3 linked regions of the Macaca mulatta genome follow. The protein of the gene in region 3 interacts with the protein of the main gene of each other region in a biochemical or structural test. Links are inferred from orthologs where the notes say so. Each region holds a gene or a part of one and is shown on either strand. Other genes may lie near its edges.

Evidence for each region.
Region 1: the proteins of PDZD2 (region 3) and CTNND2 form a complex in vitro, tested with the Homo sapiens proteins (2 studies listed by BioGRID and IntAct, with this or other methods). The link is inferred for Macaca mulatta from reciprocal best matches to the Homo sapiens genes PDZD2 and CTNND2.
Region 2: the proteins of PDZD2 (region 3) and PKP4 form a complex in vitro, tested with the Homo sapiens proteins (2 studies listed by BioGRID and IntAct, with this or other methods). The link is inferred for Macaca mulatta from reciprocal best matches to the Homo sapiens genes PDZD2 and PKP4.

Annotation. Positions count from the first base shown.
Region 1 is NC_133411.1:12,535,744-12,539,393, forward strand, and holds part of CTNND2 (catenin delta-2), read right to left. Parts: coding exon 3,173-3,650; intron 1-3,172. UniProt on the Homo sapiens protein: Has a critical role in neuronal development, particularly in the formation and/or maintenance of dendritic spines and synapses. Involved in the regulation of Wnt signaling.
Region 2 is NC_133417.1:63,526,959-63,530,608, forward strand, and holds part of PKP4 (plakophilin-4), read left to right. Parts: intron 1-964; coding exon 965-1,156; intron 1,157-1,337; coding exon 1,338-1,511; intron 1,512-3,650. UniProt on the Homo sapiens protein: Plays a role as a regulator of Rho activity during cytokinesis. May play a role in junctional plaques.
Region 3 is NC_133411.1:33,459,947-33,463,596, reverse strand, and holds part of PDZD2 (PDZ domain-containing protein 2), read right to left. Parts: coding exon 1-3,650.

The sequences.
Region 1 (3,650 bases), about 21 Mb from region 3:
GCATATGTCCAACACAGACACTGACATGTTTTGGGATTCAATAAACCTGCTCTATGTCTGAAGCAAAGATGGATGACTTCTTCCTTGCACACCCAAGGTAGTATGGTAGGTATTACTTAGGTTAATACGAGTTAACTTCTATTGAGCCAGAAAATGTGCTGGTACTTTACATATGTTACATTATTTATGTAATGTATGTAATTATTTATGTAACATATGTAAAGTACATTATTTATGTAACATACGTAAAGTACAAGGCCTCTCAGACTTGGCCTTCCACTCCCACCTCACTGACCTCAAGTCACGTGTTTGCTCTTGTTCTCTCTGATTAACCCCCCTGGTCTCCTTGCTACTCAGCAAACATATCAGACACACCCCCATTTATAAGCCCTTGAATTTGCTGTTCCTTCTGCTTAGAAAACCTTCTCCCAGATAGTCATAGGGCCAGCTCACTCACCTATGTGAGGACAGATTCAAACTTACCTTCTGTATAAGTACTGTGTACTAACTAATGGCATCACTGGAAACCCAAAAACAAACTACTGGGTACTATGCTCAGTACCTGGGTGACAGGATCAACTGTACCCCAAACCTCAGCATCATGCAATATACCCAGCTAACAAACCCAGAGAGGTACCCCCTGAATCTAAAATAAAAGTTGGAAATTATATATTAAAAAGTCACTTCCTAATTAGAACCTTCCCTGGCCATCTATCAAAAGTATTTGGATAATTTTCTGTCTTCCTCATTTGAAACAAGGCCAGAGATTTGGGCTGATACTTCATCCCTGGGATCTAAATCAGTGGCAGTACATAAAAGGTGCTTAAAGGTAATTATCGAAGGTGGCCACGTGCGGTGGCTCAGGCCTATAATCCCAGCACTTTGGGAGGCCAAAGCGAGCAGATCACTTGAGGTCAGGAGGTTGAGACTGGCCTGGCCAACATGGTGAAACCCAGTCTCTACAAAACATACAAAAATTAGCTAGGTATAGGGGCAGGCGCCTGTAATCCCACTATTGGGAGGCTGAGGCAGGAGAATTGCTTGAACCCAGGAGGTGGATGTTGCAGTGAACCAAGATCGCACCACTGCACTCCAGCCTGGGCAACGAATAGAGTGAGACTCTGTGTATGTGTGTGTGTGTGTGTGTACAGAATGATGAATTAGTGAAAGTCACTACTTATCCTTTATCTACCCTTCCTAGTCATCAGTGACAAATCTCTAAAATCACAACCCCGAAATTCCAAAAGCTGTTTTGCCATCGTGACCTAACTGTGCTCTTTCAACTAGCAAACCAAGTAGCTCCCAACTTCACAACACCTCAAATGGTATCAAGCAAACCAAATAAGGCATGGGGGTCTCGGAGTTCCAATATTTCTAATCTCTCAGAAGCATAGGGTTTGTCCCTTATACCTTACCTGGGCCACAGTGTAACCCAAGTGCAACACAAGTTATTTTTACAATGTACTTTTACAGCCCCTTCTTAGACACAATGATAGGAGCTGTTGGCTCTATTCAGCTCCATTCACCCTCCCCTAACCTCTCCACAGGTATCTTCAGCCATGTGGTCACCCTCTCGATTGCTACTGAAATGATAGAGTAGAACATGCAAAAGTCTACACATATCACCTGTGTGAGGAAGAACTGGAAGCTAAGACTCCTGATTTCTTTCATGAGATAAGTATAAGAAATGAAATGGCCTGTAGTAGGCCACCTGGACTCCTGGCGCCTCAGTCTGCTCTTCTCCGTGGTGGTGGGCATGGCTGAGAAGGGTGTCATGGAGTCCCATAAGAACTCTACCCATCTCCCATTTCTTGACATGATCTGGTAAATTATTTTACAGAATCATATACATGAAGTTTCAGTACATGTTCCCCCGCCCCCTTTTCTAAGCAGATCGCTACTCCTGAGTCCCTACAGCATTAAGATTTTGGTACTCACACTTGGTTGGCACTAATAATTGTCTACCTCAAAAATTCTATTTAAGAGAGAGAGGCAGTGAGTGAGAGAATATTTTCATTTCAGTAAATGTAGCTAGCACAATTTTGTGGGCAGCGGCACTCCAGCCTGAGTCCTGTTAGGCCAGGCCAGTCCACACTGGCAATTAACTGTGCTGAATTAAAGAAGCCCTTGGCCACCTGCCTTGTGCATGCAACAAGTTCCTTTTTTTTTAATCCTATTTATCTTCACAGTCATCTATTTGTGTCAAGAAAGGAAGCATATGAGCACAGCATCTGTTACTAGAGTGACACAATTACCAAATACTTCTATAAGGGAAAAAAATTCACAATAAATCCGGGTTAGTTGTCAGGTGTTTCAGAAGACAAAACATTAGTCTTTCAATCATGGTGTCTTGTTTAAGCTGAGCATATGGTGCTAACAGCAGAGAGGCACCAGCTCAGCCTGGTCGCTGACGGGCATAACAACCACAGAAATGTCACCTCCTCTAAATTGGCAGAGGAAAGCAGGTTTGTCTCCCCCAACCCAGCTCCTCCCTCCCTGTAATAAAGCAGGTACAAATTCAAGGGACTGCATCATTGCTGACTTTGTCCCAAGTGTTAGGACCCAAGTATATCCAATGGCAGGTATGGGAGAGTCCGTTACTTTTCCCAATAACTAATTTAGCAAAGATGTAAATAAATTCAAGCCAAAACAAACGGGTAATAATTCAAGGCAATTCATTATTCGTTATTTCCCCACTACCATTGAAAACTATGTAAGCTGAACGTCTAATTTGGGAAAATCCCTTACTTTTTCCACAATGAAATGTAGACATGTAGAAAACTAAAGGTGACCCTGTCAATATTGCAAATGTTACTTGTTTTACTTTTTTCTGGATACCATCAACAGGTCCATGGAATGCTTTCCTAAATGTGTATTACTTTTATGATTTAGTCTTTAGATTGGGGCGAGGGCAGAGAGAGAAGAGAGGAGAGAAGAGAGTGAGACAGGTGTTAGAGATTGAGACACCACATTACTCCCCAAGAGAAGTCACTGACAAACTGTAGGCAAGATACCGACTTGTTCCAGGGAAGCCCTGGCGTTCTCTATCTCCTGTCACTACTGCAACCTGGCCGACAGCGCTCCCGGCTTCGCTTCTGCTCTAGCCGGCTGCTGCCTCCGCGCCCCCGCCACGCGCCCAGGTGAGCCGCGCCAGGTGGCAGCGAGCCTTTACCTGCCAGGCTGCCCGGCCTCTGGAGGGTGGCCGTGGCATACAGCTCCTGCGAGTGCTTGCTGTACTGCTCGGACGCGTGGACCAGGCGCTTGGTGGGCGACAGGGTGGCGTACGTGCCGATGGTGGAGCTCAGCTGGTGGATGGGCGAGGAGGAGATGGTGGACTGCACGGTGGGGGGCGAGGTCACGCGGATCGGGGACAGGCCGGCCGAGGACACGACGATGTTGATGGGCGAGCTGGTGCTGTAGGACTTGGCCAGGCGGCTGGGCGACTGCTTGGGCGAGGAGCCGCGCGGCGAGGCGTAGGTGGCGCCCTCGGGGGCCGAGCCGCCGCGCTGCAGCTTGGTGGGCGAGCCGCCCTGGGGCGCGGCCAGTGGGGAGCCCCCGCGCGGCGGCGCGGGCAGCGTGGAGCTGGAGTAGTAGAGCGCGGCGGCGGCGGCGGCGGTAGGCGGCGCGTCGGGCAGGTGGAAGGCGCTGCC
Region 2 (3,650 bases), on a different chromosome or scaffold from region 3:
TTGGTCTGTCCCCAGCATGAGCCCCTTACCCTCTCCCTCCTGTGTCCGAGTGCAGGGCGTTCTGCTCATCATTTGTCAGCTGTGACGACCATCCAGGATCTTCCTGGGGACCGAGGAAAGTGGGAAGTACAGGAAAGAGAGACTGAAAGTGTCAGGACTTTCAAAGCGAGCCAGATACTTGGTGTCAGGATGGACTGGACTAGGAGAGGCCTTTGGAAGGTGTTGGATTGTAAGGGTGAGCCTGAGAGGAAAAAGGATGATAAGTGCCTGGGAAAAGAGAGAGGAATACAAGGGAACACTTTTTGTTTGAGCCTCATTGAACCAGGAGATCTGCAGATGAAATTGAGAGGAGTAAGCAAGTTGGAAAGGGAAGCTTGCTAGATAGGCAAATGCTGAACTTGGTTTTAGGCACTCAGTTAAATGACAGTTGGCCTCCCAATCAGAGGTGTGATAACAGTCTTTTAGGGAACAAAAGACCGTGTGCAGAAGGCAAATGTCAACAGGGAAAGACACCTCTGAACATGGCTCAAAAGAAGGGTGGAGTTGGGAGATTGAGAAGGAGGCAGACATGGAACTTGGGGATATGGTTGTCCCCAGGGAGGGAGTTGGGGCATCTGTTGTCATGCCAAGGATCTGCAGTAGTGAGAAGTGAGGCTCAGGCGTCTTGGGTGCAGCCTGCACGGCAGCAGCCCTGAGGAGAAACACTGGGCCGGAGCCTCATGCATTGCAGTCGGCATGAAGTCAAATCCTCAGCAGGACTGAGAAAGGCTCTGCATCCCGTCATCTGGGTATTCCACAAACACTCTAGAATCATAATTCCCTCTTCAGATTGTTTCAAGTTCCCAAAAATAAAAAGTAGTTCTTTCATATTTCCCATATATTTCCTGTCTGCAGTGTTCAGTACAGAAGTGTTTTGCTCTAATGTGCTGAGTTGTTTTTAATTATATGCCATGCTGGGTTTCAGACAGTGGAGAACTGCGTGTGCACCCTGAGGAACCTGTCCTATCGGCTAGAGCTGGAGGTGCCCCAGGCCCGGTTACTGGGACTGAACGAATTGGATGACTTACTAGGAAAAGAGTCTCCCAGCAAAGACTCTGAGCCAAGCTGCTGGGGGAAGAAGAAGAAAAAGAAAAAGAGGACTCCGCAAGAAGACCAAGTTAGCATTTTATCTGATATGAGACTCACGTTTCATTTTTCTGGGAGTGAGGAATCACATATTTGGCAAGAAAATAAATTTTCTGCATAGCTATAGCTGAGTCCCGCAAAGGTGAATGTTTTCAAGTATTGAAGATCATGTTCATTCTGCCTCCATTTAACATGTGCTATTTGTCTTTCAGTGGGATGGAGTTGGTCCTATCCCAGGATTGTCAAAGTCCCCCAAAGGGGTTGAGATGCTGTGGCACCCATCGGTGGTAAAACCATATCTGACTCTTCTAGCAGAAAGTTCCAACCCAGCCACCTTGGAAGGCTCTGCCGGGTCTCTCCAGAACCTCTCTGCTGGCAACTGGAAGGTAGGATGACTTCCGCGTATCTACACTTCTTTCCATCTTTGCAAATTAACTTGAAATGTTACATGTATATGTTCTGCCTCAGTCAGATCAGCCCTGATGATGAAATGGTCACAGTTACTTAGTTTGTCTGTGAAGGGGGTAAAGGGAAAAAAGGGAGACATGCAGTTGCTCTGGGGATCCAAAGATAAATACAAGTCCCTCACTGTGAGAAACAGAAGGCTAGTGAGAAAAATAGATGGTGCCAGCACAGTGTAGAAGCCACAGGATGTGTGTGTTGTGGGGTCCTGAAAGAAGACATCTAACCCAGCCACACAGTGTAAGGGAAGGTCAGGAAAAATGCGGAGTGAGGACATGGAGGAGATTTCCTGAAGGGGATGCTGCCCAGCAGAATCTCTAAGGATGAATGAAAGTAAGCCAGTAGAGGCTGAGGCTGCAGTATAGAGGGAGCCATCCAGATAACAGGGACAATAGGAGGAAAGTATCGCGGTGCAGAGAAGACAGTGTGGGCCAGGACTACTGGCTGCCCTCTGGGGCCCAGTGTGGAGCCAGGCATCATGGATAGGCCTGAAGGCCAAATTTCAGGAGCTGAGTCCTAACCTGCACACAGGAGGGGCTACTGAAAGAGTCTGGGCAAATGAGTGACAGAGACGGGCTAATGTCATCACTGCTCACCCACTTACATGGCAGTGCAAAAGGTGGATTCAAGGAAGGGAGAGTTAGAAGCAGGGATTGCATTTGGGAGCCAGTGCAGCAGTACAAACAGGTGAGAGATCTTGAGTGGCAGAACAGAACACAGGTTGGGCAGTGCTGTGGGGAGGGATAGAGGACCTCACTCTGTTCCTCTCAGGTAGTTACAGGCATGCCTGTGTCTAAGGTTTCTGCATCTCTTTGCAGATGTATGACTATAAAAACTGAAGACAGTTTCCTCTTGTTACCACTGTAAGCAAGTTCTCAGAACTTTCTAAATGTCCCCCAGCAACTTCCCAGACAGTCCTTGTCTAAGACATTTTCAACCTCTAGAAATTTCCTGACAGGTGTATTTTGTAGCGTTTACGATGCTTGCTTTTGGCTACTTATCCCACCTTAACCCCCCAAAATGAGAATCTTTTGGTGATAGTGTTTTCAAGATAGTGAAAAGAATTGATAAACCTAGGTATGGTTTGTTTCATGCAAGTGGCCACTATGTTGAATATAGACCGATAACTATGGTCTAGTGCTAAGCCAGTATGGTGATTTTGTTGTGGCTCCTAGTTAAAGTGCCAGTGACTCCATGTGTAAGTGCTGGCTCTGAATCCAGGCAACTCTGCTTACCGTCTGGCAGCCTAGAGGCTCTGCCCACAGTTTCCACCTCCCTAAAATAAAGCGAATATTAATACCTGCCTTATAAGGTGGTTGTGAGGATTTAGTGAGATACTCCCAGCACATAGGTATTTATATAAACATTTATGTTGTAGAACAGCCTTCACCTTCAGCTTCTGTGACCAGAAGATTATTTGATGACACTAAAAAAGACAATAATTGAAATCGATGTGATTTGAGTTGTTTCGAAGTTCGTGTCTGGGATCATTTAGTGAGAGTTAGATGGCAAGCTCATTTAAAATATAAACATTATATCTAAGCGATTTCAATAGTGAGTTAAAATATTGGACCTTCACTAAGAAAATGAGATAATCGTGGCCACAAGTGTTATCAAGTAAGAAGCTATTTCAGGAGCAGCAATGGCTGTAGTTCTCCAGAAGGGAGACAGACTGGGCTGGGCTGAGCTGGGCTAGGCTGGGCTGGGCTGGGCTGGGCTGGGCTGGGCTGGGCTGGTAGGTCTCCAAGTGAGACAGAAGGAGATGGTTCTGTTGTTGCAGGTTTCAGAGAGAGAAGTTCATAAAACTGCCTGAGTGCTTTGCCCAGTAACAAGTCAAGTACTTCATTTCCCCCCTGTAGACTTCATTTGATTTGAAAAATAGGAGTATGCATTTCATATGCAGAATATAAATAGGATCTTTGAAATGCATCTTTCCCTCTTATTTGTATTATTAAAATAATCTATTCTGTTGGTATTCAAGAAACTGGATGGTCAATCACATATTTTAATGTTCAAAATAATACAAAGGCCTGGTAGATCTCTGTCCTCATGTCTTGGTCACA
Region 3 (3,650 bases):
CTTAACGGGAGAAGCCGGAGTCGTCGTTGGGGTGGGAATTCCCAAAGGACCAAGTGATTTCTTTAGTTCCGAATCAGAGCCCTTGCTACTGGTCTCCGGTGGGTTCTGCCGGGAGATGGTCAGTGTCATGCTTGAGGGAGACTTGGCCATCTGGGGGAGGAGGGTGCCGGCTTCACTTTGGTTTTCGCTGCAGGAACTCAAGCTGCGTCTCAACGACCTTGCTGCTGCATCACCTGGGTGGCCCAGGCTCCCTGAAACAATGCTGCCGGAAGACCGCCTCCCAATGGGAGGCTTGGAGCTCACCGACAAAAATGGAGAAACCCCGGACTTGGCTACAGGCCGGTCAGCATTGGCCAGGTTCTCAAAAGACTTGATCCGCTGCTTCACAGAGAAAAATGAGGTAGATTCGTGGGGCCAGTTCTGCTCATAGCAGTAGTGTCGTCTGGTGACTTTGATTTTGTCTGTGACTAGGCAGCTCGTCTCCTGGACTGAAATGATATCCCCTTCATCTGTGGCTGGAAGATTCCTCGATGTTTCCAGCAGCGGCTTTACACTATATACGCCCTGTCCGTCAGCCAGGCTGGGAAGACCACCTCTGGATGCCTTTGCCTCGGGGACAACACTGCTTGTCACAGGGACGTGGCTGTCACGAGGAGAGCGACCCAGACTGTGTGGGGGGTGACTCTCCCGTCCAAAATGGCTTGAGAACTGGGCTGGCATGGAGTAGGTCCTGGTTGCTGGCCTTGGGGTGAAGTAGAGATGGTCCTCCCCCGAGGGCCCCCCTAGAATGCCACTTCTGGGCAGCCCTAGGGAGTCTGACATCAGGCTTGATTTTCCCTGGGAGGAATCTGCCTTTCTAATGGGCATTTGAGGGGAGGAGGAGGAGGAGACCAGTTTCGCCACGCCGAATGATCGTGACATTTCCTGCTCCGCCTGTGGGGCATGAGACGGGAGTGAGGACGGGTGACTTGTGGATGATTCTGTGACCTGGCGACAGAGCCTGATTTCACTCTTCTCCTGACAGTTGCCCTGGGCCAAGCACCCTCCCTGTCTGTCACTTTCAGCTGGCCTGTTACCACATACAGTCTTTGGCACTGTTTCAGCAGAAATCTCCACAATTTTCAGCTGGTTTGTTCTTTCAAGGCGATCGCTGGCCACTATGCTGCCTCCTTTTTCGCCAGTTGGCCTGGGTTGGGCTGTGTCTGCTGCCGAGTCCATGTGGCTGGCCAGGTGCTGCTCACTCTGTCTGTTCCCTGCCACGGACACGCCGTTCCTAGATGCTGTGGAACTCACCGGCCCAGAGTCAGCACGGGGCGCCCTGCCCTCTGCTCCACACTTAGGAGATTTAGGGGTGGCTGGGCAACCTCTGTCAGGTTCAGAGAGGACAGCCACGTGGAACCTGCTCCACACGCCTTGCTCAGGAGGAGGCTTGGGAGAGGTCAGGGGCGACACGAACATCCTGATGCTCGTGTCAGACACTGAGGGTTTCAGGGACCCAGAGGTGGCAAGAGGTGGCTTGCTGTCCAGCACACACTGCGGGGACCTGGGGGCGGCTGTGGTGTTTCTGTCAGGGTCCTCGCGGTCGGCTGCATGGAGCCGCTGTGACACCACCTTAGAAAGTGTTTGGTGGGAGGTCTGGGGTGAGATCAAGGGTTTCCTGTGGTCCGTCCCCCCAGCCTTCACGGCGTTCGCAGCAGGGGCCTCGGAGCTGACTTTGGCCTTGCCCTTGAGGCTGAGCCTCTTCAGCTTCGGACCACACTTTGGCTTCTGACCGTTAGTCGGAAGCACTTCTGCCGGACTCTTCTTAGACAGGTCCTTATTTTCCAGATTGGTTTTCGGCTGAGGAGGGCTAGGAGGCACAGCAACGCCCTTTTTTTGGCTTGAACTCACTATCTGAATCTTGGAGTCGGGACTTCTGACAGCCATCAGAGGTTGTTCCTTCTCGGTTTTGCTCTTCAAATGTGTGCCTTGGTTATGTTTATTTATTTCTTTGAACCAGGCCATGATGGGCCTCCTACCCATCATCTTGGGTTTCTGTAGCAAGTCATCGAGGTCTTGACTTTCAGAGATGTGGAGGTTTTCCAAAGCAGATTCTCCATTCTTAGGGACATCCACACTGAAGGAGGACAGACTGGCAGCTGCATTAATGCTTGTTTCGTACTGATTCAGGGTTTCATCATCTAGCATGTCACGTGCCAAGCCGTTTACCATGTTGGGGGAGCTGAGAATGATGGGCGCACTGTGAAAATGCCTGGCTACTTTAGACAGCTGACTGTTTTCCATGGCTGAGCTAGCGCTGGTGACTTCCGTGGTTTCTTCTGCACACGAGGGCCTGTGGTTCTGTGAAGCGCTTATGTTCACATGACTTTCATGCTCCTGAGAGCTCACTTCCAAGAGTGAAGATGGCTGGGAAGAGTTTGGGCCTGAAGTGTATGAGGCTGGCAAGCAGGCAGCCTTCTCACGGGGACTGGCCACTGACACTCTCGGAGTGCTGTATTTTAATGATAGAACTTTGGCTGAGGCAGGACAGATGGCAGCCTGGGTGGGAAGATGAGCAGGACTCGAGGGTGGATTGGGGCAGCCATTTGTGGAACAAATTTCAATCTGTTCCTCTTCCGACTCCGAAGGATCTTCCTTGTGCAAAGACACACGGGAACGAGGAGGGGACCAGCCGTCCCTGGCGGAAGCTCGTGGGGCTTCGGTGAGTGACTCAGGGTCAGAAGAAGAATCCTCAGCATCGCCATACATGGATGACAGAGACGGCTCCGTGCTATCGCCCAGGCCTGATAGGGAGGTGCTGTCTTCATGAAAGCTGCTAAAATTTCTAGAGTAGTTGCTCAAAAAGTTTTTGTTCACAGTAAAATGTTTGTCGGGATTAACTGAATCTAAAACCGAAGGCTGGGAGGCCCACTGTGGGTGAGGGGGGGCACCAGCAGCCCAGGCCCTCCTTGGGGAGGAGGTCTGGCCCCCTGTGACTGGTTCGGCACGGCAGGAGCTCCCACCTCCAGCCCCGGCTGGTGGCCGGCCCTGAGCACTGCCCTCCTGACAGCCACTGTCCCCCGTCTGGGAAGATGGAGACCTCGCTGCAGAAACATCCAACTCCTTGATGAAGCTGTCAATGTCCGTCACAGGGCTCTCTCCACTCCCCGCCGGGCAACACTGCCCCGAGACACGGCCACATGCTGCTTTGGTGTTGTCAGTGGATGGCAGAAGGGAGAGGCTGGCCTGCGGTGCCTTTGAGGACACAGAATCTGCTCCCTCCAACAGGGAAGGCTCCTGGGAGCTTTCAGGTGCACGGGTTCCTGTCATTTCCAGAGCCTTACTGTGGTTACCCGGAGCTCCCTGTCTCTGCTCCTGGGATGTGAGGGGGTCTCCTGGCAGGACAGCCCCAGCTGCTGTCACTCCCTCTGCCCCAGGTCCCGCTCCCCTGAGGAAAGCCGCCCTCCTGGTATTGTGGGGTGTGCTGGTTTCCGATGCTGATCGAGTCTTGCTGCGGTCGGGGGGAGCCACTGCTTTCTCCCCCAGGGAGGGGCTGCCCTCATGGGGCAGCCTGACTGGAGACCTGGCCTTGTACTCGGCGACCCTGGGTGATGCAGACTGACTGGGATTCTCCGGCCGACTGACTCGCCCTGTGTCTACAGAGGTCTTGC